Stegostoma tigrinum: one gene and its partner. Each later gene encodes a partner of the first gene's protein in a complex. Links are inferred from orthologs where the notes say so. Each region holds a gene or a part of one and is shown on either strand. Other genes may lie near its edges.

Region 1 (7,316 bases):
CACCCCTGGGAATCCATTCTTAGCAGGTGAAACAGCAGAAGAGACAACACTGATTTCTGCACCTAAACCCTCTTCCAAGTCCCTTGGTAATGCCGTATTTGTCAGGTAGCAATCCCTCCTGGCTAAAAAGGTGATAATCAAGAAATCATATAGGAGAAAATTCTGCAGGCTGTAATGCGGAGTGTCTTCATGCAACCCATCAGAAACAACTACCATTAATTCTTTGTTTTAAATTCAAATAGTGATTAAAATTCTGATCTGTGAATGATTTTTTAAAGCAATTCATTGGCCTTCATATTAATTTATTGCAGTATTTTCAAAAATTATATACACTGCTGCAAGGTTATTTGGTCTAATTGATTTTTCACATTCTAACTTCCAAGAATTTAAAAATATGAAGATCAAGATAAAATCATTACAGAAATCAACATGAGAAAATGCCAAGATTGATCTTTGAAGATTACAAATGATTTATAGTTCAGAATGGAACAGAGCCTCTTGCAATTGGAAGATGGCTCATGTCTGCAATTCCTGCTGCATAAACATTCGTCAGTGTAATTTTTCAGAGGCAGGAGGAAGAAAAAGTGAGAGAGAGAGACACATTCTAAGTTAAAAGCGACAAAAATAAAAAGGGATCCAGAGGTTAACGGCAAACAGAATAGAAAAACATCAATAAATGAAATCTAATTCATTAAATATACAGTTCCAATTCTTACAGGGCACGGTTCTACGGCTGCTAACAAGGTCATTCCAGATGCATGAAACTCGCCAGGGAACTTCTGCAGCCTATCCATTCACAGCAATCATCACAACTGAACCTTGAAGCTTTCCTCGCTCACGTCTGTGCACACCCATGTTTCATTGAAAAGCAGCAGTGAAACTACCTGAATATACCTCTGCCCCCTAGAAGGGCAGCTACTATCATGACTAAGGATGGCTTACTCACCACAAGCCACGAATCCTGGGCCTAACTGGTTACATTAAGTTTACAGCTTTCATACTGGCACCTTACACGCACAGGATTTTCCATTTTGTCATGTTAAGATCAATGGAACAGCTCAAAAATCGTGAGGGGGTTTTGATACAGTTACTTAGGTTATTGGCACTGATGGCGAATTGGTAACTGATAAGCATAAGTTGGTCAGCTCAAGAAAAATTATAATTAAATTTGGAGGGGGCTAAATTACACTCACTCCATTAGATCTTACTGGCAACACTGTCTAAAAATAATGCAGTAGATGGGTGGATTAAAGAAACCTTTGTAAAAGGACAGAAGAACTCAGTTTATAATATCACTCCAATTCTGATCTCTTAATGCCTTGTAATACAATCTGGAGAATCCCTCCACCATAGTTCACTGAATCATGAACATAAACAATTCCCCTCACCCCAGCCCATAAAAGTATACTTCGATATAATAAACCAGAAGTCACTCTTTTGGATGCATACCACAAACATGTGCTTAACGCAATGGATACCAACATGTCAAGGCATATTCCACATATATTCAAAAAGGGGGAGGAGGGTTCAGACAGAGTTTGTAGACTTGAAGTCACTGCTTAAACACAGAGTGCACCATGCTCATTAAAAGCAGAAATCACTACATCCGTGAACGTACTATGTTTTATGTCAGCACATACATGCTCTTTAACTGAAAAAAAAACAGAAAGAGAAAGAAACAAGCCCATTCACTTTTTTTTAAAAAAAGCCAAAACAATTTTTTCCTTCTATTTCAGCATCTAACCCTTCTCAACTTTTAGGAATGGAATAAATAGAATGAGAACTTAATATTCAAAATTAATCAATAATCCATTATCCGGACACAGTTATATCTTTATCACTTGTATACGTATTGAGTTTTAAGTCTTTCTTAAAACTAGATTGCCTTGAAGCTGCTCAAACATTTTTTTCTGCAAAAAGCATTTTAAATTATTCTAGGTGCTGCATGTTAGAGGTGACAGCAATATGCCCAAGCAATTAAAAACTAACACCGTAAAATGCAAACAAAAGTCTGAAACAGATACATTTTCTAAACTTTCCTTACATAATCCTACTAATTGTTAAAATTCATTCATTCAGGGAAGAGAAAGGTGTCATTCATTTTTATATGTTTTAACAATGAAAAAATGAAATTAGTTCTTCAACACGTATTGACACATGGATTACTCAACCACATCAAGTAGTCTAAAAAATTTTATTCCATTGACTGCTCTCAAAATACATGTACAAACCAAAAGACACCAGCAAAAATTCCCCCGAAATATTTCCAACGAAATAAATGCTGGGAGGCCAAAATCAGAGAGAAAGAGCAGGTTTAGAATACAAATTAAAGATCCACTCAATGGGAAGAAAAAGAGATTGTAGATGGAAACGTGAGAGATGAGAAAGAAAATAAAACATCTCCCTACCTTTGCTTTCTTTCCACAAGATGAGGCAAATAATAGACACAGGTTTGTTCCTGGGTCTATCTTAAAATTTATGGTCAGCAGACATCTTGTTTTCCTAAGGAATCACAGGACAGATTTGGAGGATAGGGAATGTATGTGGATTAAAGTAATGTGGTTTTTTTCCCCAAACCCTCTCTTTTGCTTTCTCTTTGCTCTCGTTCCTCTTGCAAATCTATGACCGGACAGAAATGGCGGATATTTCTTCCGTACTCGTTCCCTTCAACAACTTTTTCTCTTTGCTGCTGCTAGATTCCCCCCAGGAGTAGACATCGCCCATGATGCTTCTCAGGCCGCCATGGAGGCGCAGTGATTCGATGGGTCAGGTGATCTCTCCTCCTCCAAGAGACAAATATATTTTTCTTTCCTCCTCCTTCCCGATCGTCAAACAATTAGTCAAACATCAACAAAAATCCACCTCCGCACACACCATTCGATAGGCCCCGCCCGATTTTCACTCAAAATTGCCGCCTCAACTATCCCCCTCAAAATAATACTTTAAAAAACTGGCCTCACGACAATGAGTACATTTTTTCACCCCCTTCCCCCTCGCTCCTCCACCATCGTCGTTTGTTTTCCCAACCAAGCTTGATGATTTCATTTTTTTAAATCCCCGCCTACCCTCTCTAGGCTTCCATTGGGCAATCTCCAAGGAGACTCGGATTCCATTGGACATTGATCACGTCAATCAGGTTCGGCGTCCATCCAGCACGTTAGGTTGTAGGCCTCCGGCGGCTCTGAGGGTGGTGGTGGAGCTGAGGGATGTGGAAGGCGACAGCGCCGGATCGGAAGTTGGGTGTGACCGAGGGTGCCGGGAATTGTAGTCTCATCTCCCTAGCTGTATACAGCTTTTGCATTATTTAATTCACTCAGCATTACAATGAATTGTAATGCAATCGTATTCCTCGATTAGTGAGACATCTAAATGTCGATGAGTCACTGCTAGGCTTGATTAACATGGCTAGAATCAAGAGACAAACTTGAGAGTCATTTTCGTGACCTGGGACTTCGTTTGTGTTTTTATAGTAACATCTCCCGGTGAAAAATATTTCCTTAGCATTCCAAAAGGGACGCATTGTGATAGATTTGAATTGTGGTGTTATTGGGAAAGAGAGGAGGAAACGGCCGGGCGCGGATGGAAAGAACTACATTCCCCAGCGTGCCTTGGGTGAGGCTAGCGCATGTGCGGTGGTGGGCTGCGGGTTCTGACAGTCAGCGGTGACTGAAAGGGAGAAAAAAAAGTGTCCCCTCTGAAATAAAATATCATATGTCCCGGCAAAGGGAAAGAAATAAACTCCCATAAAACACAGCTTTTTATAAAAAGAAAACCACACCCAAAAAGCAGAGTCGTAATGGTAAGTAGTGATCTTTTTTTAATTTCCCCATTTCGAAATAGATTGAATGTAGGATGAGGCCTAACGTAAGCCCAGCGATGAAGGGTTTTCTGTAAATTATAAAAATAACGCAAATGAATTAACAAAAGGTGGGTAATTCTTCAAAAAGGCAAACCTTAGGATTGAAATGTTTGCTTTGGTATCTTACAGCCACAGAGTGAATACTTATCGTGAAATAGAGGCCTTGTCGCTTTTCCCTTGCTTAAAGCATCCACTGAGTGTTTTTATGTCGTAAAAGTCAAAAATGGTACAGGTATAATTGAGCTTTTGCATTTTCAAAGGAGCAGTTTTTTGAAGGTGGTAGCCATAATTGACAGGTTTCAACTATCAGGAAAAACTGAACAGGTTTGGGGCTGCTTTCTCCAGAGAAGAAAAAAAGCTTTGGACGACCTGGTAAGGTTCTTCATAAATGTGAAAGGTTTTGTCAGGGCAGATTTCGAGAAGATGGTTCTACATATTGCTCAGACCAGGTCACGTGGGCCATATGTAGATAAGGTGGTCACTGATAAATCCAACAGGAAAATGACTTGGCCCAGAGAGTGGTGAAAACGTTAAACTCACGTTTCTAAGGGTCACTGGACACAATTCAGATTTCTCTCCAGGGATGTTGCCAGACTTGCTGAGTTTTGCCAGCAGTTTCTGTTTGTGTCACTTTCATAAGGCATAGCTGAGAATAATTTAACTGAAGTTCATAAAAATGCGAGGACAAAAGGAATAGGACAATCTTTTGAGGGGGTTAGAGAAGAAAGGATTGAAGGAACCTTGGATGGAGTGTAAACCCGGGTATGGTCCTGTTAGGGTGAAAATGTTTTGATTTTACATTTGCTTTGTAAATCCGAAATGCATACCAAATGCTAGAAATGTGCATTAGGTTTTGTTTTTAGGGAACAAATTTATCTAACAGGTCCATGATAAAATTGATTTATTCTGAGTTTTTTTATTTTGGTTCTGATACTTTAGTTATGCTTCCATAAAATAAGGGAGGACATGCAAATTTGTTTCTTTCCCTCTCAATTTTATGGATCATCTTGAGAGAGCATCTGAAGAAGACCAGTTAGTGTTTTGGAACTGGACCATACCTCTAAATTTTAGGACCAAGAACTTGACTTCCTTTGGATCTGCATATGTTCAGGGTATCTCGCAAGAAATAAACTAAATTTAATGTTTCGGTAGGAAAAACTAATGATATTACGTGAAAAGTTCTAGTGTTTGCTATTTTCACAAAGAAGCAAGTAATTGAATTAACAACCAGTTAATAGATTTAGAAACAGTACAAAGATGTGTAAATTACTTTAAAGCATAGGCAAGGATACCTCAATTTAGGAGACAGATGCATAGAATTTGAAAGGTCAAAGGAATGACAGCAGCCACAGCAATTTATATTTCAAGAGAAAAGGGTGTTGATTGGATAGAAAGTGGATTCTGACAGTCAGGTGTTGCCATGAAGAAAGCAATGAAGATATGACAGGTTCCCTGATCTTACAGATAATTCAAAGGCGACACAAGCATTGAGCATATTCTTTTTGTTTGCAGAGGATGGGCCCCTGTATATATGAGAGTGTGCATTTGAGCTTCAAACTGATGAAGCATGTTGGCAACCTACATCTTCCTTGCTCTGTGACCAAATGTAGGAATTGTGTAGTTTTGCATTTCAGTAAAATATTTGATTTTCCTCTATCCCTAAGGAAAACATCCCCTCTGAGGAATTACCAGAGATCAACAAGCTACATCTGGGGAATTGTCAGACCTCTTACCTTCACAATTCCTTTGCATTCCTTGAAATGGCAAAGTAATCATGATTATAATCTTAAATTCTCTGTCAATGTGATGGGACCTAGGCAAAGGGTTTTTGTTATGTGGCTTACAGTTGATCTGTATGCATTGCGTCTTCTGTCCCATACCATATGTGCACTCAGTTGGAATATCTACATTGCTTTCAAATTATTGCCCTTGGATTTCTTCTCATTTCTGGGGCAATTCTGCATTTTCTTCCATCCAGTTACAAAAATTAAGAATAAATTGGGCTATGTCCTATTCCCAAGTTTTTTTCAAGTGGATGTGGTCAATCACTGTTTGATATATCTGGTACCTGGGATGAAGAAGTTGTCCTATAAGGAAAAATTGAGGTATGGGTGTTACTGGTTGAGCATTGCACATCACCAGTTGCCCTTTAGATGGTGGTGCGCTGCCCCATTGAACTACTGAAATCCATTTAGTGTAGATACAACCACATGCTGTTTAAGAGGCATTCGACCTTGCAACATTTTCTATAGTGTTAAATCTGCTATGGGGTTGCATTTGATAATAGATTGTAAATTTTTTCAGAATGGAGTATGAATTTTATTTGTATAGCTGAAGACATTTTGAATAAAATCATTCATTTTACCTGGATTTATTTTGAATTTACACTGGGGACATATATTTCATAAATGGAGGCCATTTTCGCAATATACTTCAGCAGCTTGGGTAACTATATTCCAGAATATTTTGGGATTGTCGTTAAAGTAATACCACTTTATCTTTTATCTCCAGATACAAGTACAAGTCTTGCTCAGTCTAATATAATTTAAGTATTCTCATTACAGGTTAGAATGGTGAGTTTTAACCTTGTTCCCAAAGACTAAGAGCGCAAAGCTGACTGTCAGTCAATAGGGAGTCATAGAATGGGAATGCTTTAGAAGTGTCCTGCTACAGTCACAGCTGATGCAGGCTGGGTCAGTTGGTGCTAATGCTAGGTTTCAAAAATGAAAAAGTTTTATTTTCTCATCTCTTATCCTGATGATTAAAAAAGCTCACTAAATTAAATATTGCTAAGTCACATTTTTTGCAATTCAGAATTGACCTGTTCATTGTTAATTTATTCCATCGGTGGGTACAAATTATTTAAAAGTTTAACTGAAGTGGGGTCTGTTTCCAGGGCTATTTTTTAAGGATGTTGTTTCTTTTCCTGAGGATTTCCTAGTTTTAAACAGTATTCTCCCACCCTACATTACCAACCACCAGTCTAATTAGAGACTTCATCAGCATTGTGTCCTGAGCCGCTGAGTTAGCAGACAGGACTTCCTGATTAGTGCCAACACTTAATAGAAATACTTGAATGGAAAGAAGAGCTAGCTAATGCTTTTACTTAAAAAATAAAGGACCTAATATTCAATTTTAGCAATGCTAATGTGTACATGTTTATTTTTGCAGCATAGCTAAAACCCAATGTCCAGTCATGTCGAATTAACCAATGCAGAATAATCAAATACTGTAGTTGTTGACAGCAGCATATTAAATGAATGCCATTGATGTTAGTGTGCTTTTAATATTGGCCAAAGTGAAGAATTGTGCCAGATAATGACAATTTTCAAATTCCATCATCTATGGACTTGAATGGGTTTGAGAAGGGCAGTAAACATAGACATAAAATGACTGCAGTAATTACCTGATCCCAGATTGATTTCCTAGACTTCTTTCAATGGGGAGTAAACAAAAT
Region 2 (7,853 bases), on another chromosome or scaffold:
GATTTCAGAAGGACGACTAGATTTTACATTCTTTAAAAGCCTTAAGTTATTTTCATAGGCTTAGAGATCTACTTACAACTTATTTAGATCTTTGTGGATATTTCTTTAGAGAAAAATCAACAGCTTTTTCTGAACAAAAGGTATTGTGTGACTTACTTTGTAGTCACTAGATCTCTCAAACTCATTTGATATCCCGAGTCAAAAACATGTGTGCAACTCATAGAGATACAGAAGCCTTATGGCACAGGAGGAGGTCATTTGGCGCATTGTGTCTGCACCAGCTCTTCGATCATCATTACTTCGCACCAATCTCCTGTTCTTTCCCCATACTTGTTGCATATTATTCTTATCCAAATAATCGACCAATATTTTCTTGAATGCTTCAGTTGAACACTCCTCCACCACTTCCAGGCAGTGCATTCTATATCATAACTACTCAGAGTGATTTTTTTTCATATCACCTTTGCCTCTTTTGCAAATCACTTTAAATCTACCCCCGCAACTTCTTGTTCCTTTTGCAAGCAGGAACAGTTATCCCCATCTGCTCCATCCAGATATACATTATTTTGAAAACTTCGAACAAATGTCCACTTAGCTTTCTTTTCTCCAAGAACAACAATCTCACCTTCGTTCTATGCTCATAACTGTAGTTTCTCATCCCTGAAATCATTTTTGTCAATCACCTTCAAACACTATCCAATGTGGTCATTCCTTTTTGGCACCAAAAACTGTGCATAATACCCTAGCTGAGGTCTAACAAATATCTTATGCAAGTTCAAAACCACCTCCTTACTTTTGTATTCTATGTCCCTGCTAAAAAAAAGCCAAGGATATTGAATGCTTTACTCACTATTCCCTCCTATCTTGCCACCTTTAATGATCTTACATATATATTACGTATATTACAAAACTACACACCCAAGTCCCCACGTCTCTCAACCCTTTTAAGAATTGTACTTCTGTTTAATATTATCTTTCAATGTTTTTCTCGCAAAATACACCACCTCATACTTGTCAAGTCACTAACTGATCTATGTCCTTTTGTAGTTCCACATTGTCCTTCTCACAGCTTTCAAATCTTCCAAGTTTTGTGTCATTAGCAAAATTTGTAATTATTGTCTGCAGAGACCAAAATCTAGATCATCTATTTATATTTTATAAATTATATAGAAAATGTGTGTATGTAGAAAAGGACCCCCACACCCCTCTACAACAAATCTTCCTCCAGCCTCAACAAAATTCATTCACCATTACACCCTGTTTCTTATCATTCAACAAATTTTGTATCCATGTTGCTACTGAATCTTTTATTCCATGACTTACCTTTCCTCACAGGTCTGTGTGTAGTTCAATTGTATGAATCTCTCCTTTAAGTCAGTAGGTTGTATGCTTAAGCCACATTCCAGAGACTTGAACAGCTAATTTAGGCTGATATCACTGGGCAGTACCAAAGTGGCAGTCTATCAGATTATATATTAAACATAGATTCAATTCCAGATCAGGCAATTCATTTTCCCATATTCCTACATGCTCATACTCTCCCCAGAACCCTGTTTGATTTCTGACTTCCCACATACTGTCTGTATTAATAACTACTAACTCCTTCAGAACGTAAGGGCTTATTAGCATATACTGAAACAAATAAAGCAACAGCTACTGAGTAGGTAACAACAAATAACAGAGAAGATTGAAAGGGTGATGGCTAGCAGAGGCTCAGTAAGCTTATCTCCACTCCATACCCAAAAGCACATAGTCCAGGCTGACAATCGAATGCTGCATTTAACCAACACCTAGAAAAGATTATCTAATATTTGGTAATTATTTATTTTCTGTTGTGTAAAGTTGCCATGCACAGATTGGTCAGTGTTTCCTACATTAAAAGTACTTATTGAATGTTTTGGAATGACATAAGACCCTAAAAGTTATTATGAACCTCCTGGAATCCTTCTGCTGCGACCAAATTCAGAGTTGAGCAATTGTTTTGAAAGTCTGACAACAGCTATACGACCAGAGCTGGCTGATTAGCATGATTAACATGTTGATGCTTGAGACGTTGCCTTGAGAGTGTCATCTCAGTTGGGCCACCTTTCTCAAGGCCATATCTGGTGAATCTTGCAAAGACCACTGGTTGATACTTCTCTAATGCTTTAAGGTACAAATATCTAATGCAAGTTCAAAACCACCTTGTTACTTTTGTGTTCTATGTCCCTGCTAAAAAAAAGCCAAGGATATTGAATGCTTTACTCACTATTCTCTCCTATCTTGCCACCTTTAATGATCTGTATATGTATATTACAAAACTACAGACCCAAATCCCTACGTCTCTCAACCGTTTTAAGAATTGTACTTGTTTAATATTATCTTTCAAATATCCCAAGCATATTAAGAAGGCATACAGTGTTTTAGCTTTTATTAAGAAGGCATACAGTGTTTTAGCTTTTATTAATAGAGGGATCGAGTTCCGGAACCAAGAGGTTATGGTGAAGCTGTACAAAATTCTGGTGCGGCTGCACCTGGAGTATTGTGTACAGTTCTGGTCACCGCATTATAAGGATGTGGAAGCTTTGGAAAGGGTGCAGAGGAGATTTACTAGGATGTTGCCTGGTATGGAGGGAAGGTCTTACGAGGAAAGGCTGAGGGACTTGAGGCTGTTTTCATTAGAGAGAAGAAGGTTGAGAGGTGACTTAATTGAAACATATAAAATAATCAGAGGGTTCGATAGGGTGGATAGGGAGAGCCTTTTTCCTAGGATGGTGACGGCGAGCATGAGGGGGCATAGCTTTAAATTGAGGGGTGAAAGATATAGGACAGATGTCAGAGGTAGTTTCTTTACTCAGAGAGTAGTAAGGGAATGGAACGCTTTGCCTGCAACGGTAGTAGATTTGCCAACTTTAGGTACATTTAAGTCGTCATTGGACAAGCATATGGACGTACATGAAATAGTGTAGGTTAGATGGGCTTGAGATTGGTATGACAGGTCGGCACAACATCGAGGGCCAAAGGGCCTGTACTGTGCTGTAATGTTCTATATAGGAGAGCGCGAATCACAGCTGTCCTTTAAACCATGAACTCAGACTCAGAAACAGGAACTTTACGGAGGTCAAGCATATTTGCTGACTCATGGAGACCCCAGCTGTGACCAACTAAAATCGAGAAAGTGCATTCAGAATACATCCAGAAACCTCAAATAAAAGCAGACATTTCAAGTCTGATGTCTCCAGTGAACTTGAAACAATTACATTTTTTTTCTGTCCGAACAGATGCTGCCAGACATGATGACTTTCTCTAGTAATTTTTCTGTGACAGATACTTCAAGCAGAACATGCAGAAGTGAGGTAACGTAGGGAGTAGACAAACCTCAAAACAAACCATTTCCCCAAGTCTATAAGAAATAAAAAGAGGTATAGGCTGTTCAGCCCCTTGAGCCTGCTCCACCATTCAATAGGACTGATACGATTCTTCAAGCATCACATGTCCCACGTAGCACAATCTGCCAATTCTGAAACTGCTGATAAGTCCATTCAACTAGCACAGAAGCACAATCCTTAATCTTGAGATACATGAACATGGAACAAGAGTAGGCCACCCGACCCTTTGAGCCTGCTCCACTATTCAATAAAATCATAGTTGATCTTAGCTTAACGTTTACTCCACATTTGTGCATATCCCCTCTCATCCTCCCGGTCAAGCACCTATCTACTTCTGCCTAGTACTAGAGCTGCCTGACACTACGAAGAAGAAAATATGAATAAAACCTAAATTTAGTTGACACAAAACTGAATTGGGCAGGGCTAATAGATCAGTTGTTTTTTTCTTCTGTCCATTAGTTTTGTGTGCGCAGTTATAACTATTACTCTGAAGTTAACATGGACCGGTCTGTTTCCCTGTCAAACATTTCTAAAATCGATTTTCACATTTTCAGCAGATTACCAATTGATACGTGAAATCAGAACTTTTATTTAAAAAAGCTTGTGATATAAATAAATAAGGAAGTTGAGGTTTGTTGCGTTTTGCACAACAACCTCATTCATGTTCATTTATAGAAAAGATGCGGAAGTTGGACATCTGATACTGGGTTGTCGACATCGAGGAAGACTCCTGAATAAGATCTCAGGATCAGGAGCGAAAGAACACCCGAAAATATCTTATCTCTGAAGTAACATTCAGCTAAACAGTCCTTACGTTTACAGTCAGAGCGAATAAACGTGGTTCCTAAAAAGGAAGACTAGCATTCAGCTTCCTTCATTGTCTTTCTTTCGCAAACAAGACATACACACAAGAGATAATGGGAACTGCAGATGCTGGAGAATTCCAAGATAATAAAATGTGAGGCTGGATGAACACAGCAGTCTCTCTGATGAAGGGTCTAGGCCCGAAACGTCAGCTTTTGTGCTCCCGAGATGCTGCTTGGCCTGCTGTGTTCATCCAGCCTCACATTTTATTATCTAAGACATACACACAATATGCCCACGCACCCCGATTTCTGTAGTCTGAGGTGTTGCGGGATTGCAGAGCACATCGTTTCCCCGGATTGAAGTCGATTTCTCGAGCCTGAAACGGATATAGCACAAGAAAAGTTGCGCAAGAAAGCGGGGAGTGTGTGTGTGACAGCGAGCGAGCATTTTCTTAGTTTACAGCCACTGCATGTCTTGTGACTGATAAGCTGGGTCCGGGACCTGAAACGATCGCGTGCACTACTGACTTTTTAACGGCTGCACCGCGAGCTACAGCTCGCGCTCCAGCCTTCACCCGCTCGGAGCCGGAGTTTGAGCAAGCAAGCAAGCGCCCACCCCCTGCTCCCCACCCACGCGGCGCGAGTGAGTGGCTTTACTCTCCCCCCCCCCCCCCCCCCCCAAACTGCATGGCGGACGGACGGAAGACTGATGAAGTCATGAACTCTCCTCTCTGCCGACTGCTCCTGTGCTAAAGTTGAGTCTTCATTTCCCCCTACGCCACTCCTGTCGCATGTTGATATTTTTATATGTAAAAAGTTTTTCCTCTTCCAACCGGCCCTCTGACTCCCCCCTGTTATTGTGTGTGTGCCTGTACGCGGGGCTGTGACCATGATGGCGGCGGAAGTCGGGAACGATTGCTTGTTGGCGGCGGCTATGACCGTGGCGGCTCCGGGCGCAGATTCGGAGACCGCTGTTTTCCAGTCTTCCCCGCAGAAAGTGTCAGAACTGAGCACCGTGCGGCCTGTCGAGTCCGAATCATTGTCACCACCACCAGCAGCATCAACACCACCGCCTCCGGCCCCGCTCCTTTCCGAACCTGTTGTCGGGGCTTCCCATATCCCCGGTGCTACTGCCCTCCCCGTGCCCCCGGACGAAGTGGATTCTTTCGACGGCCATGAGTTTGAAGAGGAAGAAGTGGAGATCCCGCTGACGGCTCCTCCAACCAACCAGTGAGTAATATGCTAGAGATGGCCTGTCCCAGACAGCGGCCCAGGGGCTTGTCAAGGGGGGGTGAAGAAGGTGGGAGGGAAGGTTCCTGAGAACAAAGAGCCAGTGCCGCAGGCCTGCCATCACACCTGACTCGAAATAATTGTAAACATAAAGCTAACAGAAAAGGAGACAACATAACATGCTTTGTCTGTTGCTACCGAGAGGAGTGTGAATTCATAGTTCACATTAGCCGGAAGCTGATTTTCTAGCTATTATTTACCACATGCTGATTGAAGTCTTGAATGTTCGAGGTGTTCAAAATTGCCTTCTTGTTGAGCAGTGTTCGTTTTAATTTGTTTGGTGCTTTAATGCTGGAATATTCTACGTTGCTGATGATTTACAGGATTTGGAATGATACTGGAAGCTGTTTGCGGATATCAGGAATGTTGTGTAACTGTTGGAGGAAATCGAGACACCTTAGACTTTCTGTTTTACCTTTTTTGGTTTTGTTCATCTTACTGGTTACTGCTCAGTTATATCACATGAATTGTGATTTTAAACATGCTTCTTATGAGTCGCTTCAGTTGGGAGAATGGTTTGATTTATAGCAGATTAGGTGCGTCAATATGAAACTGGTGTTGCAAATACTTAAACATTTTGAAAAGAACTGAGTGGTTGCAAAGTTTTAAGAGACACTGATAAATTTACTCAGGAAAGCATATGCAAACGCTACGGTCAGACCTGCATTCTCGAAGTTAGAATGTTACAGATTATCGGGAAGTGTTTTGTGATTCCTGGATATCAGTTCTCAGTTGCGCACGGTCCTGCGAAATGAACCTTCTGTTTGTAAAGCTAATCACTTTTTAAAATTGTTTAAATTGTATAATAACTTTGAATATCGAAAGTTCACATAATTATAGTGATGTTAAAATCATGCGATCTGTTTTTGATTTTTTTTCAACTCCGATTTAAGTATAGGATTAGACTGTTCTATCTGTCGTATCTGTGTCAATGCAAATATTTCATCGATTGGTTTGTAATTCCAATTCCGTAATTGCATCTTTTAGGATTTTGCTGAAATCCTGAGATTGATATTTTTTGATTATTTGGGGTGATAAATTATAATAACACTTGAGTGCAAGCACCTTAATTTCCAATATTAGCTTTGGTGGTAATCTTGATGGGTTTGCCTTGTTGTGGTGTCGCCATCTATTTGAAATTGACTTGTACACTTTGTGCAAGTATATTCAGAACTCTGAATATTTCCATTTTGTTTTGAATGCATTGTGATTTTTGAACTTTCCCAACACTATGGTGTGTATATCATCTCTAAATTAAGAAAAACACTGGCAGTCGAGAAAAGAATAACAAATAGTGTAGGGGTGAGTGAGAGTTTCAAAGTCAAAGTTGGATTGCGCCAAGAATTGCTTGTCATGGTTGTTCCAAGTAAGCAAATGATACAGAAAGTCTATGATGTGTGCAGATGACATTGGGGATGATGAGAACATGAGTATTTGGAGAATTGTGGAAAAGCATTAAAAGATGGAGATCAGTAGATCAAAGATACAATATGTGGGATGTCCATTTAAGCCTGGGAAAAGAGGATAAGAGTCAATCTGTGGAGATTACAGCTAAAGATCTGGAGAAAATGAATATTTTTAATTATGTGAAATTGGTGGTGGTAGGAGATGAAAGTACGTGCAGTGGAAATTAGTTTTGGTTAGAATATTTGAATTGTTGCGATCCCATCTATAAATTAAACCTGGACAAGTCGGATCACAGAACTGATAGTAAGAACTGCAGATGCTGGAGTCAGAGTTAACAGTGTGGAGCTGGAAGAACACAGCAGGCCAGGCAATATTAGAGGAGCAGGAAAGTTGACGTTTTGGTTTGGTACCCTTCAGCCTGAAACATCAACTTTTCTACTCCTCTGCTGCCTGGCCTGCTGCATTCCTCCAGCTCCACACTGTGTTATCTCCTGGAACAGATGATGTGATTTAGTCAACTACAAGAATTTGTATTTACATTGCAACTTGAGTGTAATGTCCCAAAGCACTTTGCTGAAATGTTGACCTTTTACTACAAAATGATTGATTGAAATGGAAAAGGGAAAAGCAATGCTTCAGTTAAACACTTTTGTTCAGATGCATGCCTATCTGTGTCTTAAATGTGAGACTGATTATTTTTAAATGATACCCCCCATGTTTCTATTCACCTGAGAGAAAGCATCCTCTCAGCATCTACCGCATGAAGTCTTCTCAGGGTTTTGTGTTTCAATAAGATCACCTCTTATTTTTTCCAATGAGTAAAGACGCAATCCTTTGTCAGAACAGTTCCTGGAATGATGGAATCTTGACAAATATGGGATGGAAATGAAAAGGAATGATGGTCATAGTTTGAATAATGCAGAATTTTGAGACGGTGTGGCAGGATTTGAACTCTGTTTTAAAACTGAAGCTTTTGGACCTG

The links.
Region 2: the proteins of arhgap35a (region 1) and ras GTPase-activating protein 1-like are in contact, whole or in part, in a crystal structure (PDB 8DGQ), measured with the Homo sapiens proteins. The link is inferred for Stegostoma tigrinum from reciprocal best matches to the Homo sapiens genes ARHGAP35 and RASA1. Residues at the interface, in NP_004482.4 of Homo sapiens: Ser1085, Asp1086, Tyr1087, Ala1088, Glu1089, Pro1090, Met1091, Asp1092, Ala1093, Val1094, Val1095, Arg1098, Glu1100, Asn1103, Ile1104, Tyr1105, Ser1106, Val1107, Pro1108, His1109; in NP_002881.1 of Homo sapiens: Arg188, Arg207, Ser209, Arg211, Val217, Asn228, His229, Phe230, Arg231, Ile241, Gly242, Tyr256, Leu262, Leu263, Lys264, Lys358, Ser379, Asp380, Asn381, Ser387, Gln397, Arg398, Phe399, Lys400, Met411, Gly412, Gly413, Arg414, His425, Tyr426.

What each region holds. Positions count from the first base shown.
Region 1 is NC_081392.1:11,809,993-11,817,308, forward strand, and holds the start of arhgap35a (rho GTPase-activating protein 35), read right to left. Parts: upstream 3,012-7,316; 5' UTR 2,409-3,011; intron 1-2,408. Other genes in the region: ap2s1 (AP-2 complex subunit sigma), read left to right, coding at 3,797-3,799.
Region 2 is NC_081356.1:95,788,514-95,796,366, reverse strand, and holds the start of ras GTPase-activating protein 1-like, read left to right. Parts: upstream 1-4,853; 5' UTR 4,854-5,063; coding exon 5,064-5,404; intron 5,405-7,853. UniProt on the Homo sapiens protein: Inhibitory regulator of the Ras-cyclic AMP pathway. Stimulates the GTPase of normal but not oncogenic Ras p21; this stimulation may be further increased in the presence of NCK1.